2 linked regions of the Drosophila melanogaster genome follow. The protein of the gene in region 1 interacts with the protein of each later gene in a pairwise test. Each region holds a gene or a part of one and is shown in the gene's direction. Other genes may lie near its edges. The genes, in order: EMC2A and EMC8-9.

Region 1 (3,925 bases):
GCGATGATATAAAACTGCTGACCAATGAGATTCGGTTGGCCTCTTCGTAGGCGTGGCAGCGTTGCTGATATATCTTTCTAATTTGGGGACCCGTAAAACGTTCGTAGCACTTCGAGCCCGTCAGTTCCACCATGTTAAGTTTGCCACCAACAGCCATCTCCATCTCTAGGCACTGTTTGGTGGTGGTGGCGTCCATCCAAATCGGAGTACGATTTACCACAAAGGCGGAGTCGTCGATTTGTGCGTGAAGGAACTTCTCGGAATCGAGGTTTTGCAGCGTGTTGATTCCATGTTTGGACCAGTAGAGCGATCCGTGCTGCTGTCCGGAGCCACTGATGGCAGCTACGGTGCTAAGATCCGCTTGCTGCATAACCAGTCGGTCCAGGACAATGTCCATGGCCTTCACCCACATCACTGGTTGTACAAAGTATCTAAAGAAGAACAAGTAAAGGTGGAGTCAGGTTAGCACATATATATTTTATAGTACCCATTGTATATATGGTCCCTGTTATAGGAAGGTTAAAAAAAACTTGAAGTGATAGAGACCCATTGTGGTGTAATAAAACAACTGCTATGAAATAGGGCCCTAAGTATTATCGGACAAATACCCCACAGCGCAAGATATAAAAACGTAAAATATATCCCCCTATTTGCTTTACGCAAACAATCATCCCATTAAAATCTTCAATTGGAGTAATGGATAGTGGTGAAACAGACTCACTCATTTTTGATGGATCCAGCGTTGGCTCCACCGGTGGTCCGGAACTCCGGCAAGTCGGTGTCGAATTTCACTTCAGCCGCGGCAACCACCTCCAAACTGGAGCCCAGCAGGACGGCTTTGAGCTGAGAGGAGTAAATGGGGCAGCAATTAGCGATATGGAGACACACCTCGAAAATAACGATCAAACATAGAGGGCAACTAGGAGTCACCGCCAGCGTCATTCAGGGATTGTGAAAGTTATTGCGGCTCTATTAAGATAATGTCGGGGGCCAATACCTCCGAACATGAATTTCAATAATCAAACCATAATAGTTAAATCGGTTGGCGCTCGCGTCTTTAGCAGATAAGCGAAAATCGAGCCCCGGTCACCGCAACTGATAAGAGTAGTTCGTGTTTCAAGTTCCCGAGTACCGTTTGACCTTTTCCAGTAACACCATTCGCACGCAATTGGCCCAGATGTAGTCGATTTGGAGACGCCTCCACATCTCAGATGCAAAGATACTACGTAGGCAGTTCCAGTTCTCACCTTTTGCGTGCTCAAGTCGAAGCCAAGAAAGGTTCGTTTCAGCTGCTTTGGCGGACCCATGTTCAAACTGCTTCCGGATCTGTTGGGAGTTGGGGAAATTAAACACAGCACCGCATGCGGCACTGCCCGATTCCACGGCTTTAATACCCGGAGAGCACGAGAGACTTGGCTTTTGTTGACGGTACCACAATTATTTGATTTGTTAGTGTGACCGTCGCTGGAAGAAAAACTATCATGTTTCATGTTTTCGTTGGCGCGCTTTTCAAATGTGCACTTGACTTAGAAATCTGTTAAAATGGATAAGCAATGCACAAAGTTTGGACAAAATAAGATTAATGCATGGTAAAATAATTCATTAAAGAATCCTTTTCAAGGACCTACAAGTATTTCAGAAGTATTAACAGTTTAATTAACTTTGCAAATATCGGAAACAAGGTATATGTAGAAAAACTTAACTTTAGAAGTCTCTTTATAATAAAAAGTTTTAAAAAATTACCTCTGACTTCATTTCTAGACTTTACGATATTCAAAAAGCAGGTTGGCAGCGCCACGCTAGTGTTATTTGGTATAATCTAACGGCTCATTACGCTGCCACACTTTTATTTTGCCAAGAAGGAAATCGCTAGTTAATGATTACAATTGGGAAATTAAATTAAATTGATGAGATATTTAAGTCCGCCTAAGTGAATATGTCGCTAGATTATGAGAAGATGAGCTGGTCGGGTAAGTTTTCGGCTTTTCCCGGCTCCAGACAGGTGCAGACCACGTCAGTGGGTTGCTCCCAATTGCCATGAATGAAAAGTGCCGTATCATAAGCGTATGATCATCCTTTCAGATGTACGGGATCAGTTCAGAACGTGGCGCGAGGAGACGGGTCGCCACAGCGAGGAGGTGGTCCAGCTGTGGGTTGCTGTGCTAGAGGACAAGGTGCACAAGACCGGCAACGAGCGGCATCTCATCCTGGAGCAGGTGATCATCGCGGCATTGGATACGGCTCGCTTTGACATCGCCACCAAGTGTACCAAGCAGCTGTCCCTCGAGTTCCCGGGCAGCCTGCGCGTGATGAAGTTCAAAGCGATGCGCTACGAGGCCCTGGAGCAGTACGATGAGGCCGACGAGGTCCTGGATGCAATCATTGCTAAGGACGAGACAAATGCCGCGCCCAGGAAGCGCAAGATTGCCATCCTTAAGGCCCGTGGTCGTCGCCTGGAGGCCATCAAGGAGCTCAACGAGTATCTGAAGAAGTAAGAAAGCTAAGTTCATGGTGTTTTTGGAAGAACGGAACCAAATTAGTTTCCGGCATCCGGTTGCTAGACAACTACTTATCTTACCATGTACGATAATCTCATAACTATTTAATATTCCTTCAGGTTTATGTCTGACCAGGAGGCATGGCATGAGCTGTGCAACATGTATCTGGCTGAAGGCGAGTTTGGCAAAGCTGCCTTCTGCATGGAGGAGGTTTTGCTGCACAATCCGCATAGCCATCTAATACACCAGCGTTTGGCAGAAATACGATACACAATGGTGAGCTATATAAGCCCACTAACCAGTAATGAAGTCCATCTTATGAATTAATTTTCTTTCAGGGTGGCGTCGAGAATATGGAATCGGCTCGCACTTACTATTCGCAGGCCCTGAAGCTTAATCCGCATAACTTGAGGGCCCTTTATGGCATTTACTTGTGCTGCAACCATTTGGACAACTCTCGTGCTGTGAGCTCCAAACGGAAGGAGCTGCAAAAGTTGAGTCAATGGGCCCTCGAACAACTTTTGACTAAACAAACGATTGTACCCTTGGAGGCTGCCTTTGGAAACCTGGAAATTAAATCGAATTGACCAATATAAGCACTAATAATTTGTGCAATAGATGCCAGAATGTAATGGTTCCAAATATTCTCAGAAGTGGGTTTCCAGTTTCTGTTCTTTAAGCAGGTTACATAGATAAACAATTAAAGAAATAGGAGTAAAAACAATTTTATAGTCAGTGCATCCAAGCAACTGTTTTTGGTGGTCTAGTATTGTTGACGGCATTGAAACCGGATAATTTAAAACATTTATTATTGAGGTAGGCAAAAATAGTCCTGTAATAAATTTAGATTAAACGCAATGAACTGCTTTGAATCATACTTTTAATCTTTGGCCTCAAGTTTTAAGCAATATTAACTCGTGCCCATGTGCTTACATCCGTAAAATTAATCGGGCACTGAACGACATTCAGAATAAGTCGAAGAACATTTATTCTGAAGATGGTGCCTATTGTATACTTGACTATTCGCTGAGGTCATTGACTCTTATTATTGTAAAAATTGCTTTAATGCACTAGATTAATTCTCACTAGGTTTGTGCGTGTCCATCGTCATACAATTGCAAATTTATATACGTACATGGCAATAACCATATGCATATTTACTTGCATAGCACTGTAGGTGCAATCGACGACTGCAGGGCAGCGAGGGCAGCGCTGATAATCCAGCGGACGGTTAAAAATAGTCCAACAATGGGACAGAATGCAATCAGTGGAATACCCCTCCCTCCTTCGGCATATTACTTCAGTTTGTGGAGGAGCCGTTGCCAAACATCCGTCCGCTGTGCGATTTTCTGGAATACTTTGGACGGATGATGTCCTTGAAAGTGAATGCGGATGCGAGTGGAGGCTTTTCCGAATTGCTCGTGGAG
Region 2 (3,925 bases), on another chromosome or scaffold:
ATTTCGGTGAGCCTCCACGTTATTAGTTTTGCTTTACCCATCTGATATGCCTTTCTTTCAGCAGCATACAACTGGGCAACCAGGTTGAAGTGGACCCTGAGGAGATCAACGTCACTTTTGAGGATGTCAAGGGTTGCGACGAAGCCAAGCAGGAGCTCAAGGAGGTCGTTGAATTCCTGAAGAGTCCGGAAAAGTTCTCAAATTTGGGCGGAAAGCTTCCAAAGGGAGTGCTCCTGGTTGGCCCGCCGGGTACTGGCAAAACACTGCTGGCCCGTGCCGTCGCCGGTGAAGCCAAAGTTCCTTTCTTCCATGCTGCCGGACCGGAGTTCGACGAGGTGCTCGTAGGCCAAGGAGCCAGACGAGTGCGTGATCTGTTCAGTAAGTAGATTTCAATTATCCAAAGTGCTCAACTAAACAAGAACATCATCTTGCAGAGGCAGCAAAGGCCCGTGCCCCTTGTGTTATCTTCATTGACGAAATCGACTCGGTGGGCGCCAAGCGAACCAACTCTGTGCTGCATCCTTACGCCAATCAGACCATCAATCAGCTGCTCTCCGAGATGGATGGCTTCCATCAGAACGCTGGCGTCATTGTTTTGGGAGCCACCAATCGTCGCGACGATTTGGATCAGGCTCTGCTGCGTCCCGGCCGATTTGATGTAGAAGTCATGGTGTCGACGCCCGATTTCACTGGACGTAAGGAGATATTGTCTCTGTATCTGACGAAGATTTTGCACGATGAAATAGACTTGGACATGCTGGCGCGCGGCACCTCTGGTTTTACTGGAGCGGATCTGGAAAACATGATTAACCAAGCGGCGTTAAGGTAAGGAATAACTTGTGTTGTATTATTCAATCACAATTTTGAAGAGCGGTACTAATAATTCTAACATTTTGGCAGAGCTGCCATCGATGGAGCCGAAACGGTCAGCATGAAGCATTTGGAAACGGCACGAGACAAAGTACTTATGGGACCCGAGCGCAAGGCTCGTCTACCGGACGAGGAGGCCAACACCATAACCGCTTACCACGAGGGCGGCCACGCGATTGTGGCCTTCTACACCAAGGAGTCGCATCCGCTGCACAAGGTGACCATCATGCCCCGCGGACCCTCCCTTGGACACACCGCCTACATACCGGAGAAGGAGCGTTACCATGTCACAAAGGCACAGCTGCTGGCCATGATGGACACCATGATGGGCGGTCGTGCTGCTGAGGAACTGGTCTTCGGCACGGACAAGATTACGTCGGGAGCCAGCAGTGATCTCAAGCAGGCAACCTCGATCGCGACGCATATGGTCAGGGACTGGGGCATGTCGGACAAGGTCGGTCTTCGCACCATCGAGGCGTCAAAGGGTCTGGGCACCGGTGACACCCTTGGTCCCAACACCATTGAAGCCGTGGACGCGGAGATCAAGCGCATCCTCAGCGACAGCTACGAGCGGGCGAAGGCTATCCTGCGAAAACACACCAGGGAGCACAAAGCGCTTGCGGAGGCGCTTCTCAAGTACGAGACTCTTGACGCCGACGACATCAAGGCAATACTGAATGAAAGCCAGACGTAGTTCCCCCATCGGTGTGGTTTGATGGTGTTCAAGGATCCAATTGGAAGGCCGGGTTGGTCTGCCACCGGACATTCAGCTGAACTGCTAAATATTTTTAGTTACAATATACATATATAAAAAACCGGAGAAAAAAACCAAGCAAGAGCGAGACGCAGACGGACAGTTAAGAAATAAAATGTTACACATATTCAGTTATGTTTTCCATCATTCACGTTAGAATTAAATATTAGTTTGAGTAATAAATTAATTTGAAGTGGAATCCACATATTGTTTGCGCGCCCATATCGATGTGACCAGACTACTGCAACCTATGTTAGAAACCATTTTCTAGAACTTAAGTTATAAATATATTTTCAATGTTAAAGACATAATTAACAAATATAGTTTTGATCACATTTTTTGTGGAATCCATTCCATGCTCATCCATTTTAGTATTTTTCATTGTATATTTGACGTTTGCGGTATATTTGAACAGCTGCGTCGCGGTCACACTTTCTAGCTGTCGAATTTCCAATTCATGTTTTATTTTTTGCCGAATAAATTGAGATAATATTCTGAGAAAATGTGCGACTACAAGGTCTCGGAGCGGGCGTACGCCAAGTTGATATTCCACGCGGCCAAGTATCCACACCAGGCGGTCAACGGACTCTTGCTGGCCGAGAAGACATCGAAGGGCTCCCAAGTGGAAATCGTGGATGCGATTCCGCTTTTCCACCAGTGCCTGTATGTCACCCCCATGGCGGAGGTGGCCCTCATGCTGGTAATTACCAATTGCCCTTCCTAAACTCACATCACGAGGGGCTCGGTGCATTTGTGTCCGGACAGCAATGTGGTGCGCCCCATAATGGAACTATTATGGCTTCAATTTGTATCTAGATCCTCGCACCCTGGCCAAACACTCCGCTATCCAAAAGATATATAACTATTCTAACTTATTGCGGCTGCATAGTTATCCAGTGTTGTGCTTAGAACAGAAAGGTTTATGTTCCAAGCGATCTTTATTTAGTAAAATGTACCTTGTACCCCACGATGGTATTTTAATATTAGCATATCAAATTCAAAAACTAGTGTCACACCACTTTTACCCTGTTAGAAGTTTATTACCCAAATTAAACTAGCAGTCTTAAAGCATTGAAGTTGTGAAGACTGAATTAAATTTAAAAGCCGATAAGGTTGTACCATTGTTTAAATTAAAACATTTTATAAAATAACGATAATAATACATTACCTTACACTTTCAGATCGATGCCCACGCCGAACGGGAAGGATTAGTAATCGCAGGCTACTACGCAGCACCGGAGAACTTCTACGACAACCAGGTCGACAAGACCCCAGCCGCCAAGATAGCTGACAAGATCCAGGAGAACTTCAAGAACGCCTGCTTTGTGGTGGTGGACAACAAACTGATGACGCTGCAGCACGACCGAGCCGCCATCCAGGTATTCAACTGTCCCGGAGACTCTGGAGCAAGGTGGTCAAAGGCCAAGTTTACGCTCTCACAGGCGTCCGATACATTGGAAGGCGTGTCGCTGCTGCTGAAGCGCGGAGCCATGCGGGATTTGGTTGACTTTGACAACCATCTAGATAATCCGGACAAAAACTGGACCAACGACTTCCTGAATCAGCCGCTCAACGATCTGCAGAAACTGTACTAGTCGTCCGTTTCAAACGTACGTTTTTTTTTTAGTCTAGCAAAATCGCATTCGAGGGAACATGCCGGAATTTCAACCTTGCAATTTAATTTATTGTAATTACATTTGGATTTCAGTAATCTTTAGAATAATGCATATAAGTTAAATAACATTCAACTAATTAATAAATAATCAATTCTTTCATCATGTTTTGAGTCAAATGTTGTCTGCAGTCCGAGTCCGTCTGTTGGTGCACCTATTGTAATATCCTTTTTAAGTCCGGTCCGGTCCGGTTCTGTTCTGTTTATTGTGTTGAGTAAACCTAAGCGCGTTACAATTATCGTTAATAAATACAGATGAATAATATGTATATAATTTTGCTTTTGGTTTGTCTGGCTTGTAAATTGAAATATTTTACAATAATATTGTAATATCGCGATTGCTGATTATACATAGGTATACATAATACGTACTTATGTGGATATATCGGAGATCGAAAGTATCGCAAAAACGTTTATTTATATAATTTCAGTGTATTGTATATTTTCATATTATCTGATCGAACGCATAACGAACTCTTTACACCGTACACTAAACGTATAGGGGACCGGGACTACGAATCACTGATCACGGATCTCTGATCACCAACGGGATGCCATCCTGAGCACCTTACTCGTATTTGATTTGCCAGTTATATGCTATATGCTTCTGTAGTTCTGTGTATAAGGAG

What was found.
Region 2: the proteins of EMC2A (region 1) and EMC8-9 interact in a two-hybrid assay, tested with the Drosophila melanogaster proteins (2 studies listed by BioGRID).

What each region holds. Positions count from the first base shown.
Region 1 is NT_033777.3:16,993,971-16,997,895, reverse strand, and holds EMC2A (ER membrane protein complex subunit 2A), read left to right. Parts: upstream 1-1,824; 5' UTR 1,825-1,936; coding exon 1,937-1,970; intron 1,971-2,082; coding exon 2,083-2,491; intron 2,492-2,617; coding exon 2,618-2,774; intron 2,775-2,836; coding exon 2,837-3,085; 3' UTR 3,086-3,354; downstream 3,355-3,925. Other genes in the region: CG3534 (uncharacterized protein), read right to left, coding at 1-431, 722-843, 1,248-1,307; CG31274 (uncharacterized protein), read right to left, coding at 3,799-3,925.
Region 2 is NT_033778.4:22,880,801-22,884,725, reverse strand, and holds EMC8-9 (ER membrane protein complex subunit 8/9), read left to right. Parts: upstream 1-2,035; 5' UTR 2,036-2,126; coding exon 2,127-2,324; intron 2,325-2,805; coding exon 2,806-3,219; 3' UTR 3,220-3,404; downstream 3,405-3,925. Other genes in the region: YME1L (YME1 like ATPase), read left to right, coding at 1-6, 62-378, 435-825, 901-1,564. UniProt on the Drosophila melanogaster protein: Part of the endoplasmic reticulum membrane protein complex (EMC) that enables the energy-independent insertion into endoplasmic reticulum membranes of newly synthesized multi-pass membrane proteins like rhodopsins.